Linked DNA regions of Ovis aries. The protein of the gene in region 1 purifies or fractionates together with the protein of each later gene. This does not show direct contact. Links are inferred from orthologs where the notes say so. Each region holds a gene or a part of one and is shown on either strand. Other genes may lie near its edges.

The links. The genes of interacting proteins can lie anywhere in the genome.
Region 2: the proteins of CAMLG (region 1) and TNFRSF13B purify together in Homo sapiens (affinity purification with western blotting; 3 studies listed by BioGRID and IntAct, with this or other methods). This does not show direct contact. The link is inferred for Ovis aries from reciprocal best matches to the Homo sapiens genes CAMLG and TNFRSF13B.

The regions. Positions count from the first base shown.
Region 1 is NC_056058.1:43,870,587-43,876,284, reverse strand, and holds the start of CAMLG (guided entry of tail-anchored proteins factor CAMLG), read right to left. Parts: upstream 3,794-5,698; 5' UTR 3,679-3,793; coding exon 3,507-3,678; intron 2,009-3,506; coding exon 1,551-2,008; intron 1-1,550. UniProt on the Homo sapiens protein: Required for the post-translational delivery of tail-anchored (TA) proteins to the endoplasmic reticulum.
Region 2 is NC_056064.1:34,854,511-34,859,552, reverse strand, and holds part of TNFRSF13B (tumor necrosis factor receptor superfamily member 13B), read right to left. Parts: intron 2,813-5,042; coding exon 2,567-2,812; intron 1-2,566. UniProt on the Homo sapiens protein: Receptor for TNFSF13/APRIL and TNFSF13B/TALL1/BAFF/BLYS that binds both ligands with similar high affinity. Mediates calcineurin-dependent activation of NF-AT, as well as activation of NF-kappa-B and AP-1.

The DNA.
Region 1 (5,698 bases):
TCCCTCTCATCTAGAGGTATTTAACTGACAATTTGAAAGCACATCTATTGGGGGGAGGGGGGCTCAGCTCTGCTGTTCCCCACCCCAGCGCTAGCCCAGCTTCCCAGGTTGTTCTCAGGGGACAGCAGGCTTCCTGCATCCTTCCTCTAAGAAGGCAAGTCTGGGATAGCCTAGGGGGAGTGGGATCACTCCCACTTCCAGTCCCTGGCAGAGACTTGAGACGAAAGCATCACTTAATAAAGACCCCCTGAAGCCAAAAAAAAAAAAAAAAAGAAAGCACATCTAAAAGGCTCAGGACTCAAAACAGATGCCATATATTACCTCAGTCACACTTTGGGGCAAGAAATGAACTCCTCTGGCCCTCAAATAATGAGGTGTTTCTATTATAGATAAAATAGCTTGGTTATCTCGCTTCTCACACAATGAAACAGAAAATATCACAATAATACTTCAGTTACATTTATTTCTAAAACTAAAATATCATGAAGGGAGTAAAGGAGTAAGCATTACAAAATGGAAGAATAGTAGGAGCAATGATTAACAGCTGAAAATCCGACAGCAAGAAAAAAGTCCAGAAACCCAAAAAACCTCAAACGAAATGAGGCGCAAAAATAGGACATAATTTAAAAAACATGGAAGTGCAGAGGCCTTTCCATAAAAAAGATAAAAAGCTGCTATACATCTCACTAAATACTGAAAGCTACAATGAAAATTTGTCATCAGAAAAAAATAAAATCTGTTCAACAGAATTCTCTTTAAGAAAAAAATGGCATAAAGAGAGACTTTTAAAAACTTTTTTGCTTAATAACATTAACCTTAATTATCTGAAAATTTACTTATGTGCCTGGTACTTGGTAGGTATTCTTAAAATGTCTACTGAATGGAAACACCTCAAAGAGCAAGACACTGATCTACGAGTTGTGCTTTTCTTTTCTTCACATATTGTAAAACAGTAAAACACACCCTTCCCCTTCACTGAACAGCCACTGGCATCTAAGGGTACATGATGGACTGCTATTATGGTAACAGTACAACATTATAAAATGCTAAATGCCTCTGAACTCTAAAAACATTACATCACGTTCAGGACCAAAACTGCATTTTAGTATTTCAAGTTATCTGAAAAGCGGTAATTAATATATAGGATATGTAGGTAATTTACCCTTTGGTTTTGGAATGAAACTGCCTGGGTTTAATCCCAGTTGTCACTTAGTAATGTGACCCTGTACAAATGATTTCACCTGAGTCTTCATTCCCTTCAATCTACAAAACAGATTCAAATGCTACCTGGCTCATAAGGATGAGGTTAAATGAATTAATATATGTAAAGCACTTAAAATGGTACTTAGCATATAAAAAGATTTTAGCATTATCATCAGGCTCTGTATTTAACTGGAACACTTCACTCTGTACCTAAGGCAAACAGAAGTTTATAACACATCTCCAAACAGTCACATGGATCACAAATATTACATTAATATTAGAAATGAATCTTATGGATTAAAAGCACTCATTACTATAACCAATTTTCATTTCCCACTGTTTCTTACCAAATATTTGCAGACAAAAGCTCTAACTCCAAAGGCAAGAAGAGCACAGCCCACCAATCTAAATATTCGAAAAGAGTCAAATTCTTCTGTTGTATTTCCATCTTCTTGACTGGGCTTTTCACTAATCAGCTGTTTCCTTAGCTTCATTGCTTCTTCAAATCTGGAGAGGTACTGTTCCAGGCCGTGGTGAGAACCCCTCTGGACAGAGTCGGCTGTCAGGTCCCCTCTGTTCCGCTGCCGGAGCTCAAGGCTTATATCATTACTGCACTCAGAAGGGCTAATGAAAGAGTCCAGTTTGTCTCCCAGCTGAGTTCCCTTTACCTCGGCCACTCCACTGTGGTCAGCCGGTCCTGTACTGACTGAATCACCCAGCACTACTCGCTTTGAAACCGAAGGAATGGTGAGGGAGTTCAGTTTATCACTGTCCTGCTGTTTTGATTTTGTTTGACTTTCTTCTTCTGAGAAAAGAAATTTAGAAGCCTTAAGTATTACATACTGGCCAACATCTTTCTTATTAATATTTAAAAATATGCCACTAGAGCTAAAATTTGGCAGTCTCTGAATTAATACTGATCCTTCATAAAGAAACAAATTCCTTCCTCTACACACAAAAAATGTCAAAGACAGTATTCTTTCAGAGGATATAACCCAAATTTTGGGGACAGAAGACAAAGCTAATAGACAAGTTGGGAAAGAGGAACGGAGATATTCTAAAACAACTATTTTTAATATTACATTTCTGAATCCAGAGTCCGATCAGCATAGGGTGTGGCATATCCTCCTGCTACCGGTTTGCATAACCCTTCTACTGTAATCTAGGAGACATTAGAAGGTACTTCAGCACTTTTAGGATGCTGTTCTAGTTTAAAACAAAACAAAGGGCGGGGAACCTTTAATGACAGACAAAATAAAAATCTCAAAGTAAAAGAAAAAAGAAAATGCTTTAAGAAAGAATATTCTGCTATTAACCATTAAAGGAGAAAATGTGTCTCCTAACAATTGTTCTAGAATTTGAAATAGGGCTCTTACCTCTCTTGGCAGTTTTCAGTGGCAAATCTGTGAACTGTCTAAAAATTCTGAGTTATATATCTAAAGCCCCACAGAGCAAAAGTCACAAGGATCTAAGGAACTTGCAGCCAGTGACTGAAGGCCAAATATTAGAGGCAACACTAAATAGAAATGTAAGAGTGTACAGTAAATACAGGGGAAAAACCAATTTTTTTTAAGAAACCCATTGTACATGTCATTGGGGGAGAAATGAGGAACTCCTTTCAGTGCTGAAGGCAGTTCCTGACATCATTCATATCAATCTCTGCACATTACGAGATAAGGCCTCACATGGGCACGTTTCCCTTGTTGGGTCTCTAAAGAATGGTCGCTCCAATTTTTTTCGCCTGTTTAAGAAGGCCTGCAGATGAGTGTCGAGGGCACCGCACAGACACCTGGATATGGGGCCGTGGTTCACGTTGGACAGACTACAGGGGCAGTTCAGTAAAGACAAGCTCATGAGGGCCGACAGAGCAAAAAGAAGGCAGACGGTAAGGAAGGCACTGGAAGGGAAAGCATTGACAAGGGAAAGAAAGACAGGCAATCTTCCTGACGGGCACGGTAGGTAGAGCAGTCTGGGAATAAAATGTGCGGCCTTCAAGAGAGGCGAGGGGGTGACGAGGGCAGGGTTGGGGCCGCCTCAGGGTCAGTGCGCAGAGAGTATACCACGGCAGAGGGTCTCAGGATCGAGAGCATTGCAGTTTGCGGCGGAAAACTAAGGAGAGATACAAGAAACGTCCTGCGGTGAAGAAGTGAGAACCTGGGACCTCATCAAAGGGGCGGGGCCGGAGGAGAGGTCAGAGAGCAGGGCTTAGTCAGAAAAGTCAAGGGGTGGAGGAGGGCAAGGAAGAATGATCCCCGAGACTCAAAAGGGATGGGCAGGAAACTATGGGGAACGGAGGTTCTCACCCGCGCTGCTCCCAGGCCTGTGAAAGCCCATGATTCGGTTGATGCGCTGTTCCGAGTTCATGAGCAGCTTTCTCCGCCGCAGCTCCGCCCGACGCTGGGAAGCCGACAGGCCTGAACCAGCCGGGGCCCCCGGCCGGTCCCCGCTGTCGGTAGCGACGGCGGCCGGCTCCATCTTCCCCTCCACTGTCCAGGAGTGGTGGCGATGACGTGAGCGGCAGCCGCGGCGCCCCAGACTTCAGACTGGGCCGCAGGCCGCGCGTGCCCCTACCGCTGTGGACCCGCCCCCCAGAGCGCAGGGCCGCACATGCAGCGTAAACGGGCGCGCCGCCTGTCGGGACCAAGCGCGAGCTCTGCGCCGCCATCTTGAGTAAGGGCATCCTTGGCCGCTCTAATTCCTCCCACCTGGGCTGGTCCTTAATGCTCCTCCCCCGCCATCGGGCGCCGTTGCCGTTCACTCGGAGGTGAAGAAACCCGGCATCCGGTTTGACCCATTAGAAACATGTGAGCAAGGAATAGACTCCGCCTACCTGATGCCAGGAAGCAAAATGGAGCTTGGAGTGGCAGGCACTGGTTTCCAGTGACCTTCTTCGGGCTCGCTTAGAGGCGTCAGGAATACGTAACTTCGAGAGCGACGCTTTATGGAGCGTTGCGGCTGGGATTTGTTCTTGGTGCTGATTCCTCATCTTCAGCAGTGCTTCTACCAAATGCATGCCTGTTTTGATAAAGACTTTCCCAGTGAAGCCTTCCCTGTCCACTCTATATTGTCGCCCCGACTCAACACTCTCTGTTCTCCTTATCTGCCCTTTGTCCTTAACAGTTATAACTGACTCTCAAGCTGAATGTACTTTTATTATCTGCTTCCCACTTCGTAAGATATAAGCTCCATGAAGACAATCACTGTGTTCGTAAATCTAGGGCTGCAACTCTTAGAACAGTGTAGGCCCTCAACAAGGGTGCCTTATCCATTACACCATGTTGACAGCATACAATAGGGGCCCAAGAAAATGTTTTAATTTGAATTTTTTATTGAAGCAAAGTTGATTTATAAGATTGTGTTAGTTTCCAGTGTACAGCAAAGTAATTGGTGTATATATGTGAAGGTGTTAGTCCTTCAGTTCTTTCCAACTCTGTGTGGCCTGCCAGGCATCTCTGTCCATGCTATTCTCCCGGCAAGAATGCTAGAGTGGGTAGCCATGTCCTTCTCCAGGGGATCCTCCCTACCCAGGGACTGAACCTGGGTCTCCCGCGTTGCGGCAGATTCGTTACCATCTGAGCCACCATATGTATGATGGGCTTCCCAGGTGGTGCGGTGGAAAAGAATCTGCATTCCAGTACAGGAGACAAGTAGGTTTGCTCCCTGGGTGGGGAAGATCCTCTGGAGTAGGAAATGGCAACCCTCTCCAGTTGCCTGGAAAATTTTATGGACAGAGGAGCTTGGCAGGCTACAGTCCATGGGGTCACAAAGAGTCAGACACAACTGAAGCAACTGGGCATGGCAAGGCAAAAGGGCTCTGGGACATCTCAAGAAAAATTTCCCCTGGTATCAGAACTTTACAAGGGCAAGTCCATCTCCATTTAAAACAATTTTTGTGTGTTATTTTTTGCTTTTCCTTACCATTAAAAAAAAAACCACTCTACCCCATGCCTAGCATTGAGAGCACTAGATTAAGTTTACCTGAATAATTGCACAAATTTTTGTTTTAGAGGAAGTGTCAAAACTTGGCATTTTCAATGAGTTTTATAAAGATAAAAAACTATTTAGGCTTATTTGGTATGTACACACATATACATATATACTTCCCTATATTCTTTTTAAAATTATTCTTCCCATTATAGTTTGTTATAAGATACCAAATACAGTTCCCTGTGCTAGACAGTAAGTCTTGGCTGTTTATCAATTTTATATATGAAAGTGTGCATCTATTAACTCCATTACTTCCGATTTATCCCTCCCCTGCCTTTTCCTCTTTGGTAACCATAAGTTTGTTTTGTTTGTTTCTAAATGAGTTTGTTTAGTTTGAATTTAAATGAGAAGGAAAATGCAGTTATAATTTATATATAATGATGAATCCAGCCTGGATGGCAGGCATTATCATACTGACACAGTCATTATCATATTGACACAGTCATCAAGTATAATTTTAAGTGTGCTTTTATAGAGGAAGGACCCCACAAAAGCAAAGTACTGCTAC
Region 2 (5,042 bases), on another chromosome or scaffold:
AAAGTGAAAGAGGAGAGTGAAAAAGCTGGCTTAAAACTCAACATTCAGGAAACTAAGATCAAGGCATCTGGTCCCATCACTTCATGGCAAATAGATGGGGAAACAGTGGAAACAGAGACTTTATTTTTGGGGCTCTAAAATCCCTGCAGATGGTGACTGCAGCCATGAAATTAAAAGATGCTTGCTCCTTGGAAGAAAAGCTGTGACCAACCTAGACAGCATATTAAAAAGCAGAGACATTACTTTACCAAAAAAGGTCCATCTAGTCAAAGCTATGGTTTTCCAGTAGTCATGTATGGATGTGAGAGTTGGACTATAAAGAAAGCTGAACGCAGAATTGATGCTTTTGAATTGTGATATTGGAGAAGACTCTTGAGAGTCCCTTGGACTGCAAGGAGATCCAACCAGTCAGTCCTAAAGGAAATCAGTCCTGGATATCATTGGAAGGACTGATGCTGAAGCTGAAACTCCAATACTTTGGCCACCTGATGCAAAGGGCTAACTCATTGGTAAAGACCCTGATGCTGGGAAAGATTGAAGGCGGGAGGAGAAGGGGACAACAGACGATGAGGTGGTTGGATGGCATCACCGATGCAGTGGACATGAGTTTCAGTAGGTTCTGGGAGTCTGTGATGGACAGGGAAGCCTGGCATGCTGCAGTCCATGGGATTGCTAAGAGTCGAACACGACTGAGCAACTGAACTGAACTGAACTTTCCATTTGATTTGTTCAACCCTTTACACTGTTCTCAGAACCAGTCTCGCCTGGAAACTGCTGCTGCTGGGCTGGAACTCCAGCCGGCTAGACTGGCAGTGCTGTGACCATCCTGAGGGCCCTAGTGGCTTTGGCTTGGCTGGTGTGGCCGAGGGAGGACAGGATTTGAGCCTGGACCCACGGCCACTGGTGCTCATGGTCAGGTCTGCCTTCTGGGGGAATGGGGCAGATACTCCACCTCCATGCTATTGGCTGCCGCCGGACCCAGTGGAACATTTGGCCAGCATCCCTGCAGCCCTGGCCCAGCAAGTGGGCCAGCTGGGGAGGAGTGAGGTAGGTGCACAAGGCTGTCTGCACCTCTTCCCTGGCTTCAGGCCTGGGGGCAGCCCTCACAGTGGTGACGTCGCATGTGGCAGTGGCAGGGATGGGAAGAGAAAACACTCCATGCCCCAAGATAAGCAAAAAGCCAGGGACAAGACCGACCACCAGGCTATATGCCAATGTGCCCCCAAGGAGCCCCCTGGGCAGGCACCCTACACACACATGTGACCTGATTTGTGAGAGAGGAGCCTTTGTGGATGTGACCAAGTTAAGGGTCTGGGGAACTTCCCTGCTGGTCCAGTGGTTAAGAATCTGCTTTGCAGTGCAGGGGACAGGGGTTCGATCCCTGGGCTGGGAAGTTCTCACATGCCATGGAGCAACTAAGCCCATGGGCCACAACTACTGAAGCCCGTGCCCCACAACTAGAGAGCACCCCGCAACTCGCCACGAGAGAAAACCTGCTGGCAGGGGCAGAGGCCTAGTGCAGCCGAAAATAAATAAGTAGAGTTGGGGAAAAGAGAATCCAGCTTACAATGCAGGGGGTGGGGGTTCAGTCCCTGTTTGAGGAACTAAGATCCCACATCCCACAGAGCTATTAAGCCTGAGAGCTGCAGCTACTGAGCCCTGAAAGACCCTGCAGGAGGCAGGAAAGATCCTGTGTGCCACAACTGAGACCCGATGTAGCCAAAACAAAACTTTTAAAAAAAAAATGTAAGGATCTGGAGGTGAGGCCACCTTGGATGAGGGTGGCCCTGAATTCAATGACAAGTGTCCTTAGAAAGAGGAAGACAGACCCACAGAGAAGCCCCGTGAAGACAGAGACAGGAGGGAAGTGGCCACAGGTGTGGATGCCTGGAGCCCCAGCCCAGCTAAGCTTGTACTGTTCCCATCAAACAAAGGAATGGCCTTTCCCAGAGAGGTGGAGTGGGCCCAGGTGGGGGTTGGCAGGGTGCGGAGTGAGTCGGGGGGCAGGAGGGAATGGAGAGAGGTCAGCTCCGCTGTGTGACCATCCTCCACGCCCCACCCCCACCCTCAGGACCCGGGGTCTGGACTCAGCACCTTCTGTTTACAGTCCTTGCCAAGCCCAGCTCTGGCCTCACCTGCACACACACGCTTCGGGACACAGTGGGACACGTGTAAGTCCCAGACCTCCGGAGGGACACTGTGTGGAGCAGACATGGCCTGTAGGCCCTGATGAGTCTCCGTCTCTCTGAATGGGCCTGGGGGTCTTGCTCACAGATTGGCTGTGCCGGTCACTTGTGGCCCTGTGTTCTGAGAGCTCATTCGGAGGCTGTCAGGAGACTCCTGACTGTCTGGTCTCTTTTCTTCTGCTGCTTTCCTCTTGCCCACAGACTTCTGTAAACTTTGCCTAGTTTCTCTTCCTGTGACGCCCAGCCCGCAGCCTGGCTCCTGGTTATCTGCATGCACTGGACTTGCTGCTTCACAGCCCCTCCTTATTGAGGCCTGGTGCCTGCCTTCCACCCACTTGGACCTTGAGCCAAGTGCAGGCCACACACAGCAGGTGGCTTACCTGGACCCGCATCCAAGCCTCTGTGCTCTGGCACCTGGTGCTTCCCCAGGGTGTCTGCTCGGGTCGGGGCCTCTCCGGCCCGCTGTCTCCTGAACTCTGGTAGGAGGCTCACTTGGCTCCTCAGCGTCTTCTCACAGTAGTGTGTGCACTGCTTGGGGTGACGTCCGCAGATGGAGGCACAGCTGATGCAGTCCCTCAGGAGCAGGTCATAGTACCTGCCTTGCTCTTCGCGGCAACTGAGTGACTCTGGGAGACAGAGATCAATGATGTTACTGACGGACACACACAGGACCTGCAGGTTTGACCTCAAAGGGCATCCCAGTGAAAAAAAATCCTAGTCCAGTTCCCCAAAAGCAATTCCAGAGTAGTCCCAGTCCTTTTCCATGATGCAAACACTAGATGGTATCTTGTCCACTGTGTGCTGTTAAGCTGCACTGCATGTGTTTTGATGTGTAGTATTTTTTTCTATATCTAGTTTAAAATGTTCTTGTTTTTCATTAGTATTTGTTCTTTGCTCTACATATTAAAAGTGCATTTCCTAGTACTAACCATATAAAGATTTTCTAGTTATATTTTACCATTGATATCTAAGTTATTACGTTATCACAGGAGTTCTTTATTTCGAATCTCATTTTCAAATCTCATAAAGGAGAAGCATATCTCTTATAAATACAAGGAATGGAGAAGGAAGCCAGCATACCCCTTGGTGAGTTGGGGAGGGGCCTGGACAGGAGGTGGGAAAGCTTGAACGACAGTGTTCTTCCTGTCCTAATAATAAATGAGAGTCACAGGAGCTCAAACAAGTATCACTACCAGGGGCAGAAGTGAAGCAAAACGAAGGCCATTCATACTTGCTCAGAGAGCAGTTCTGAGTGCATTACAGACCTGCCTTTCTGCAGGGCGGGTCCCCTTTGTCTCTAAGGAGGATTCTGTTCCTATGGAACCGTGACCTGCAGGCAGGTTTGCAGGCATTTTGGAGGCAGCACACGACAGAGGCCCAGAAGCCAGACCTTGAAGCTACTCAGGTTTGGGGCACCCTCATCCCCACTTCACGTGGCAGCTGGGCCTCTCTGTGACTCAGTCTCCTGTTTCCCAGGAGAGGGATAATCACAATATAATATGGTGATTTCTTCCAGTTGCTATGAGGATTTGAAGCCCCCAACACAGTGCCTGACACATAGTGAATAACGCTCAAGGTTTAAGTAGGATATTCACCACGCCTCTTTGCAATGCAGACATGCCAGCCCTTATGTCCTTTTCAAAGTAGAGGACAAGACCAGGGAGGCATAGATCTGGGACCTCCCCTTGCCCTGCCCTGGCCCTGGGCCCCCAACCCCAGCACAGGGGGAGGTAGCCTAATGGCGGCCTTGTCCCAGGGTTGCCACGACCTCCTGCCCTCCTCGGGTCCCCCATGTGCCTGTGTAGGTGACAGCTCCGCAGGCCACCACCCTCACTGCCAGACCTCGCAGACTCCCCACAGGGCCTGAGTGTTTCTGCTATATTTTCTGGGTCTTGGGCCTTTGTCCACACTGGTCCCTTCTCAGGGGGCGCCCTTCCCCCTCACCTGGCCTCCACATCCTCAGCCTTCAGTGATCAATCTCAGGTGGTGCCTCCTACAAGAAAACCTCCATGCTCCTCAGCCCATCAGCCAGTGGGTCTCTCCCAGCCATGGTGCTTTATGGTTCATCTTTTAACCATGAAATGTAGTCATTTCCATTCCTCTTTCCAGGGTTTGTCGGTCAACATAATGAATGACCACCTCGCTAAAGGATAGTGGCTCAGAGTCATGGTGTTGGTGTCAGAAAGTCATTTTTCAAATCCTATCTCTTCCACTGTTATGCTGTGTGCTCTTGGGCAAGTCACTTAGCCTGTCTGAGCTCCACTCCACCAGTATTTATATGAAGCACTGTGTGTCAGGCACTGTGCTAGGCTTAAGAAAGGAATTGAGCCCACAGTCTAGTGGTTGAGACACACATAAAACAAACCCACAGGAAAGAACATGATACAAGTCATGATGAGTTCCATCAGGCAAGCAAAATACACTTGTCAAGACAATCAGAATATGGCGTGAGTGTAGACGATGTTAAAGAATTACTGCTGAGAGTGATAAAATGTTGAGTTTGTATTTTGAAGGCCTATGTATTAAGGATTCATGATCCACTATGCACAGGTAAAACAATACGAGTTCTTGGATTTACTTTAAAATACACAAGTTAAAACAATGATTGGGAACCGAAAAAGCAGTATTCCTAAAGCTGCTGATGGGTAGACGGGTTTGTTATGCTGTTCTCTCTCAGTTTGATAACTTCTATAGTAAAAAGACTCAGAAAGAAGTGCAAGCAGAGAACGGAGAAGGAGGGCCCACTCTCCATCTGGCAGTCAGAGAGGAGCTCTGACTTGGTGCTGAGACCTAAAGGTCAGGCAGGAGGGAACCCTGGTTAAATATCCCTGTGCAAAGGCCCTGAGGCAGGAAGGA